2 linked regions of the Schizosaccharomyces pombe genome follow. The protein of the gene in region 1 purifies or fractionates together with the protein of each later gene. This does not show direct contact. Each region holds a gene or a part of one and is shown on either strand. Other genes may lie near its edges.

The links.
Region 2: the proteins of eaf1 (region 1) and ebp1 purify together in Schizosaccharomyces pombe (affinity purification with western blotting; one study listed by BioGRID). This does not show direct contact.

What each region holds. Positions count from the first base shown.
Region 1 is NC_003421.2:1,859,835-1,863,937, reverse strand, and holds eaf1 (RNA polymerase II transcription elongation factor Eaf1), read left to right. Parts: upstream 1-2,001; 5' UTR 2,002-2,024; coding exon 2,025-2,109; intron 2,110-2,211; coding exon 2,212-2,303; intron 2,304-2,468; coding exon 2,469-2,555; intron 2,556-2,679; coding exon 2,680-3,171; 3' UTR 3,172-3,471; downstream 3,472-4,103. Other genes in the region: serine/threonine protein phosphatase PP2C catalytic subunit Ptc2, read right to left, coding at 1-181.
Region 2 is NC_003424.3:3,275,797-3,280,664, forward strand, and holds ebp1 (protein Ebp1), read right to left. Parts: upstream 2,738-4,868; 5' UTR 2,352-2,737; coding exon 855-2,351; 3' UTR 696-854; downstream 1-695. Other genes in the region: puf4 (RNA-binding protein), read left to right, coding at 1-78, 129-434; protein Xrc4, read right to left, coding at 3,155-3,571, 3,624-3,743, 3,887-4,023, 4,069-4,189.

The sequences.
Region 1 (4,103 bases):
CCCCAAAGAAGCTTGTCGGAGGATTAGAAGAATTGGAATCCGTAAAGTTTAGCAACGCACAATGCGCGTCTTCCATCGAAATACGCCATCCTTGCATGTGTGAAACGCCAAAATGAAGCCATCGATCCCCGCCAGAACTCGAATGTTTGTCGAGTACGGGTTCTGAGAGTGTTTGGCCCATGTGTATATTTTCTATTACCTTTGTTAGCCCAGCTAAAAAACCTGTAATTTGCGGTTGATGCGTTTAGTAAAGTTACGGAAAGGAAACAAAAAAAAGTGTATGAGCAAATTAATAGGGAATTTAACCACGCTAGCTAAATAATATATAAGGATACTTTAAAAAAACTTTATATCGCATTACGCTTTAAAGTTGTCTCGTTAAAAAATAGCGATTTTCTGTACACCACGGAAGCGTTGCTTTGCAAATTCGTACGCTTTACGTTATTAACCAAATCGTTGTTGGGTAGAAAAGCGTGAAAATGAAGGGTGGGTAAATAATTTAGTAGAAATGATTTACAATATAAAAAATAAATTTTGATACTGTTAAGCTTCAATGTGCTCCAGCTCCGGCTAATATACCCTCACAAAGACACTAATGAACGATGCCTTGAAATTGCTAGCGCATCGAGGAGCCCTTACTTATAATAAAGCTATGGCGATATCGAAAAAAGTAATCCAAACCCAGGTCTAAAAGCAATTCTTGCTTCTTTCCTTTCACTGTTCGCTCTGGCAAAAAGGTCGTACTGGGAGTCGAACCCAGATCTCGAGAATCAAAATCTCGCGTGCTAACCGCTACACCATACAACCGAGTACGGTAAAGCCGTAGATTATGTTGCTTTACCATAAATGAAAAGTTAATATAATAATCCAAGAGGTAGAGAAATGAGAATGGAATGTTCATGAAAATGTCGTAGACTTTTTCCCCATGCAACTTGGTACATTAATAATACAATAATAAACATAATCTTATTCAAAAAGGCTTTGCTCACAATGCTCATATACCTGCTTACACTAGTCAACTGTTTATACAAGCTCTTCGTAATTAATGTATTAGAAGCTAACTTCGTTAAAAATGTTAAACGTTCATTTCCCGCGATTCGCTATATGGTAAATTTTTTAAAAAGAAATGAGCTGTAGCTAATAAATATCAATGAATGATAGATTGACGCAGCAATAAGAAAAACCATGTATTTTGACTACTGATTTACTAATTTTTAAATCGATCGTGACGTTTTTGTTGTCAATAGCAGCAATAAATCTAACAGTCATCATACTCTGAGAATTTTGCCCTACGACATGCACCTAAAAGACAAGAAACGCAAGTAAATTTTTATAATATTTCAATCATACTGCTGACTGTGCGCAGGTAGTCCTCGAATGTATATATATCTTGTAAATAAAGGATTCATCCTTGTACCGAAATGATATATACTGTACAACCTACAACGTCTTTCTCGGTCGCGCACTGTGTAAGTTCGTTTTTACGAATGCTAAAATAGCTGCTCGCAAATTGGTATAGCAAATTGAGTGTTTATCCATTATCGTTCATTTCTTGTCAGCAATACTACACTACGCTATGATACACTACGTTGCGCATCACTATATGTCATATGTTGGAATACTAGCTAAGATCCGTTTATTGATAATCACGGGTAACTATCCGTCTATATACATAGATACCCGATGATAACAACTATTTAGAAATATTATGAATAGAGTTCCAACTGAACCTCGTTCCTCAGTTCAGTTATGAGCTATATTAGTGATAGGTAACATTATAACCCTGTTAATACAATACCTATTCTCAGTTGCTACTTATACAACCTGTGTAATGTAATATAATAGACCACAAGGAAAACTCACCGCAGTTCTACGTATCCTTAAACCAGATACCAAACTGCGTAGCTTACATTTCTGGGGTTTAAAATTAGAAACCTTGAGCTGTCTTACCTTACGTTATTTATTTGATTTATATCGAAATTTCCAATTTCGTACAGGCCTGACTTTTACCATTATAAACAATCATGAATTCATTACAGAAGGGATCATACAAAGTTATTCCCGGGTCCAGCTTCTCAAAGAATTCAAATGGACTTTTATCTATTAAATGTACGTTGCCCATTTATTTTTAGAGACAGTGTATATCTCTGTTGCAAACTATGAACATCATACTTTCTCCAGGCAGAATACTTATTTCTTTTTTGTTTATAGACAATTTTATACCAGAAAGTGTGGACCCTTCTCGTCGAGGTGTTTTAGAAAAGGCTCAGGAAGCCTATCGTCTACGTCTTCCTTCAACTTTTGTAAGTATTATAAAATTGACTAAGCAAAGTTGGTTTCCCTTTTCTTCCATGAGGAGTAAAAATTTGAAAAAATCATTTTTTTACTTTTTGGTTCCTCAAATTTTGAAACATCAATTTGCTTCTGTTATTGAATCAACGAATGCTAATGTATATCTTCATTGGTAGGATGATGACAGGCCTCATATATTTGAAGGCTCATGCCAACGAGCCAGGAATGTGGACTGTGTACTAATTTTTAACGCTAAAACAAAGGTAAGTTATTGTCCCATATACTATTTTTAAAGAGGTTAAAATCTATGTATGCATGCGTGCATGTGTATGTATAGAACAGGAATCGTTTTCATGTCACTACTACGATACTAACATTAGGCATTAGACATTCACACTGGAGCATATTGATGAGATTGCTCGATTAAATGCTTTACGCAATCCAAAAGTCTCTAAAACTGTACCTTCTAATGCCATCACTCAATCTGATAATTCCCAAATCTCTGAATCCAAATCGACCTCTCAAAGTGCGGTCACGACTAATTCCACGAGACGTAAAGAAAAGGAATTGGAAGCTTCAAAGGATGGAAAAATAAAACCTTCATCGAGCAATACTCGATATCCTGCCATATCTAGCAAGGGACCAATCACCACCGATACCAACGATGAGCCTGACATGGAGGTCATGGAGTTGGATGACTTTGCCAAAGAGTTAGAGCTAGGATTTGATCAGGAATTTAATTCCATAGACGACCCCTCTACAGTATCCCAAACGGCCAGCAAACCAATCTCTTTGAGGGGTCTATCTTCGCAAGAGAGGGATTATGCTTCTTCTGCTCAGGCAGAGGGTATCAGCAGCGCTTCCGAGGATGAGGATTAAGTATGCTTTATGCTGTGTTTCGTATACACTTTCCAAACACGATAATGAGAAAATCTGTTAATGAACGACTTGCAACGAAATTCCAGGGAGTAAAGTAAAGCAAGACAAGTCTTTTCCATCACTACTCGACAGCGAATCGGCGGTAATAAACTCGTTTCACTCTGTGTCATTTTTTTAATTATATACGAACGTGTCTACGCCAAGGGAAAAACATATATCGTTTTAAAATGTTTTCATCTTTTTATATTTCTTTTTATTATTATTAATTCATAATGACTATAAAAAACATGGCTTGTCTTAGCGTTTCATGAGACGGACAATTTTATTCAACCCACGGCAATACCAGAGTAGCAACGTTGGGGTTTTAAATAAACTATAAAAAAAAAAGAAGCTTGACTAGTAAAAAAAAGAATTAGTAAAAGGAGTTAAGAAAAACTAATTGTCTGAACCAGGAAAAAGACAAAAAAAGAGTTTTGACATTCGTTTGTAAATTGCTCAGTAATCAAAGTTGACAGCATTTTGGTTGTCAAGACCATCAGGCTCATTAAATCAGATGATTAAGCATCCTTGCAATCCAACATTTGTCGTTTCAGTTTCCTGCATGCAAAAGACGAGCTTACCTATTTAGTCTGAATATATGAAAATGAAAAGAAGTTACTCAAAGCATTTCCACTAAGGAAAATATATTGTTGTAATTAGAAAAACTAAACTAGAAATCACCATCCAACAGCATCAGTCAGTATAGATAGTGTCAACTAGCGGTGTGTTTTACCAGGTAAACATGTTGGACAAGGAATATAATGAATACGTTGTTTAAGGAAGAACGAAGGTAGAGGTGTGTGTGTATATATAGTGTATGGGGGCATTAGGTAACAATGTTGTCTGTAGTTGAGAGAGTGTAAACAAGGATAGAAGAGAGAAGAGGATTTAAA
Region 2 (4,868 bases), on another chromosome or scaffold:
GAGGCTATTATCTCATACTTTTTATACAAAGTGAGAGCTCTTTCAACTCAAAAATTTAGCTCTAATGTAATGGAAAAGGTATGTTTTGTAGTAAAGTTAAAACAGAAATTTACTAATCAATTTACTAGTGTATATTTTTTGCTCCCGCTGCTATTAAGGAAAAACTGATTTCGGAACTAATGGATGAAAAGCATCTTCCCAAGTTACTTCGTGATTCTTTCGCTAATTATGTTATTCAAACGGCACTTGATAATGCGAGTGTAAAGCAACGCGCAGAGTTGGTTGAACGGATTAAACCACTTATTCCAAGCATAAAGAATACGCCCTGTGGTCGTCGCATTCTTTCAAAGTTAGAACGTCGTCATCCGAGCTCGAAAGAAAAGCCTATTGTGTACAGTAATTCTGAAAGAGTTAATACTTCCTCTTCAGCTTAAACGTTTCTATCGTCTGTAATTTGCATATTATTAAGGAGGACTCTCGCATTGTTGAAATCGCTCTTTATTTATTACCATGAGTATAAAGGCTTATCGCCTTTCTTTGTATATCTAGTATTAAAAGACAATTAAGTCTAGCCTCGAACTTTTTTACGACTTTTTAAATCTTTACAGTGAACGTATCATATAAATTCAGAATAGTACTAGGTACTTAAGAAGTTCATGCATTCTAAACGTTTTAGTTTATTACTTCTACTTAGCGTGGGAATCAATATCTATTCGATTATTCTACATATTTGAAAATAAACACAAAGGCATGATAAAGCAAAATACATTAAGTAACTTTATTAGTGAAAGAATGACATTCTGTTATTGAAGACCGACTCAAATCTTTCAAGTTATGGGAGTTAATACAATTATTTATAAATATTGGGCAATGGGGTAGCTTTCTTCTAAAGATTGAAGATTTTCGATATCTTCTTTTAAAAGCTTTGACTCAAAAACATCTCCTTGCTTTTTAATCCATTCGTTTAATAAATTGTGACTAAACCTGATTGTGACACCAATTGGAGCGTCGATATCTAATGGCAAAGGGATATTTGCCTTTTTTTGGACAAAAAATTCGTTAAAAGTATTTGGTGCAGTAGATGAGATATATTCAATTGTCAACAACGAACTTCCCTTCTTCATAGATGTAATGTAATGTTTATACGAAGAGTAAAGGCGCACCGCATTCTCACATAAATTCTGTGCATCACCGAGGGACTTGGCAGATGTTAATCCACTTGAGCTTTCTTTTATGTCTCTCATAAGATTCAATTGTGAGTGTCGTATCCTCATAACCTCGATATGAAAAATTTCACGAAATGCAATCCCGAGTAAAAGAAAAAATAGTCCTTGAATACAAGGATCCAGTTTATCCTCTTCTTTTATGAGAAACTGAATATACGCAGGGAGGGTTCTCCAGTTACTCGTAGTAGCGGGATGGTTTCTCGAAAGATTGGAAAGATTCTGTAGGTGAAAAGCAACTGTGTAACATAAAACAGCATCTACAGCGTACGCTTCGAAAAATTTTCCTTTCTTATCACATTCTTTCTTTTGCATTTTCCCACTGTTAAGAAGACGCATATACGTTTTCTTCAAAGAGGCATGATTTACTTCCGACTTTTCAGACAGTGAACCAGATGTTTTGTCAACATCAGCTGTGATCAGCTCTTGGGAAGAAGGATTCTTGTTTTTTACTTTTAAGCGCTTATAATCACCTAACGTTACATTGGCTTTTCTCTTGAGATTGCTGCTGGTGTTACCATTCAACGAGGATCCATTATTAACATTAGAATTTTCAGAATTTACAGTAGATACCATATTATTTATGGAACTGTTCGTGGAGGCCTTCTTTGATTTGTGAGCATCTTCAACTAGATTTTTTGAGCTCTTAGTGACTCCCATTATTACATCTTTTGAATCAAGGAGAATTGGAGAACTGACAGCTACCTCCCCTTCCTCCAACAAAGGTTTAGAATTACCTTCATCAGTAAGTTTGGAAGCGGTTAAAACCTCTGATGAATTTTTAAGCGTTTTGCTAGTACGTGTAGAATCGTTATCCAAGGGATGTAAATCGTTCTCTGCTAACGATGCTTCAGAGTCATCGCTTGCCATTCCAAACCCAGGAGGAAGCGTAGGGCTTATCAAGCTTGGCAATACCGCTTGGAATTTTGAATTCCCTACGGGAAGATGCATTTCAGGAAGAGTAGGAGTAATTGGAGATGGAAACTTTGGACGGGCTTGGTTGACTTGTTTTGGAGTAGATAATTCCTGTTCTAAGACGATAGAATCGTCCTTTTTCTGAAAGGAACCCTTAGGCAGTACTGGATGATGCCGACGACGAATTTGATTATCACTGCTGTCGTTGCTCATCGCATGCGCTGTATAAACTATTCAAATAAAAGTATTTACTTAAAAAAGAGATATGCTATGGAATTAAAAGATTTCGATTAGAAGACAACAAATAATGCCTATTATATTAAGAATTCGCGTCAATTAGCGCAATTACCGATAGCATGTAACTCGAAAAGATATGAAAAGTTTAAGAAAAGAAATCTTCACAGCATTTAATTTAAAAACAGTATGAATGTTAGCAAATTCAAATTAGTAACTGCGTTTCCAATAGCGAAAACCCGTTTGCCCACACAGCTAAGCATTCATTTATCCAAAGCCAAAAATTGCTAAATGCCGTCAAAAAAGAATATTCAAGCCTAAATCCCAGTATAAAATTACAACAGGCTTGGTTATAGGATTTTGGTGAAATTATGAAGCGTATTGTCGACAAGTAATAAACACGTTACTTCAGAACGCGCCCAACCTTGAGTAACAAATTATATATGTAAATAGTAAATTTGCTGAAGAAAAAGTGGATCAGAAAATAATAGCATGGTAAACACGATCGCAAACATGCTTCATTCTTTTGTACAGGAAGGAAGTGCTAGGCTTATAAGACATCTTTATAAAAATTCACCAACTATACATATTGTATTTATCTTGCAAGTGCTTTACCTATAGTAGGATTCCGTGTGAATATTTAAATTTAAGTAAATTTATTATTGTTTTGAAATTAAAGAGAATAAAGTTGACCTGAATACTGAAAAAAGTGTAAGAATGGAGAGGCATTTCGGGTAGTTTAACTTGAAGCGTAATGTATCATATTATCATTCCTTCCGAAGCTACTCAGAAACTGTTTCGCTACTTTCGTGGGACGATCGCCTATGTGAATCATCTTCACCTGCTGACTCGGGAGAAGCGTCTGCAGTTGGTGAAGCGCTCAATGCTTTCATTGGAAATTCTTCTTTTATCTGCATAAATTCATCAGAAACTGCAGATTCGTCAGTATCAGAGACTGCGGAAGAATTGACTCCCTCTTGCTGCTTTTGCTCGTCTGTCCCGACATCAGATTCATCCTCATAATTAATATGGTGGTTGTCTTCATTATCCTCGTTATTTCTTGCATTTTTAATCATATCTGCAAATTTCATTATAAGCTTTCGTTCCCTAGACTTACATTCTTCTTGAAGTTGCTCTGTATAAGCCATAAGCTTTTGAAGCTCGTTTTTTTGTTGAGCCATACTAGCAAGGGCAAGGTCCTAAATTTCAAATAATCAGCAAAAGAGAAAGAATGTAAAGTTTTTTTCATACCTTTATCGAATGGCTGCACTCCCACAGTACATCAAAATGTTCATGGTCTTTCAATGCTTGTTGTTCTAATTCAAACCAGGCAATACGTAAAGGGAAAGGATCAACGTAGTTGATATAAATCTAAATTGTTAGCATATTTAATTAATCAGCTCAAAAACGACTGGCAAAATGGGGTAGATGCGACGAACAAAAAAATTCCTTGGTTTGAAAGTCATCACACAATCAGCAATTCATTAACTACTACAGTATTGCAATAAACATACCCTACATAAATTCTCTAAAACCACTAATTGCAATGTGTGCTTTGATTCGGATCTGCCGCACAACAGATCCACGATAAGTTCATCGGTTAATGATTCTGAGGTTACGTTCCGTTGCAATCGTTTCCAAGGTATTTCATCTGGAAAATTAGTAAAAGAACGTTTTACACACTATCTTTCTATACCCCTTAAGACGTATCTACAGGTTGGGCTAATTGCGCACAAGAAAGCACTGCTTTCATCCAATTCTGAGCGTAGGACGAATTTTTCTCCTTTAAAATCTTTCAGTGATAAAAAAAATTTCATGAGTTGTTTCCTGAGCTCAAAATTTGATGTGAAACATCAAGGCGGTCTCAGTGCAAGTTTGCAGGGAAACGTAATAAGAAACTTGATAATCCAACTTGTTGACTGCTAATGTTTTAGTGTGCGCAGCTGATAAATTGGAAGCCGAATGAGTTTAAAATTTTAGGTTACTAAGAAACACTATCTTGAAAATTGTTTTTTTTTTAGATTTTTTTCATTGAAAGAAAAGAATCTTTCTGATTGAAAAATTGCTGATTCGGTGATATAACAAATCGTTTAGTATAATATAAGAGGTTTCCATACGAGAATATTGGATAAGAATCAGCGCAAATGTTTATACCATGTTTGTTAAAAAAAAAGAATTTCAAATTAAAGTAGTTAGCAAGAAGAAATTCGCAATGCAATTAGATGATGACTACTACAAGTTATTGAAAGTTTTTTAAAGTCAATTAAACTAAGGTGATTTCAAAAAAAATGCTTTCATCAATATGTGTTGGTTAACAAGGCCTTGTTTATAATATCATTTTTTCTCTTCGAGATTCAAAACTACATCGAGATATAAAACTGAGGTTTTTACATAAATGTAAAGGTTTATGCTCTGTCAAGGCTTTAGAGCTTTGCACAGAGACCACTGGTTATTAGGTACATTGCAACCTTACGAATAAACATTAATGATCGTAAA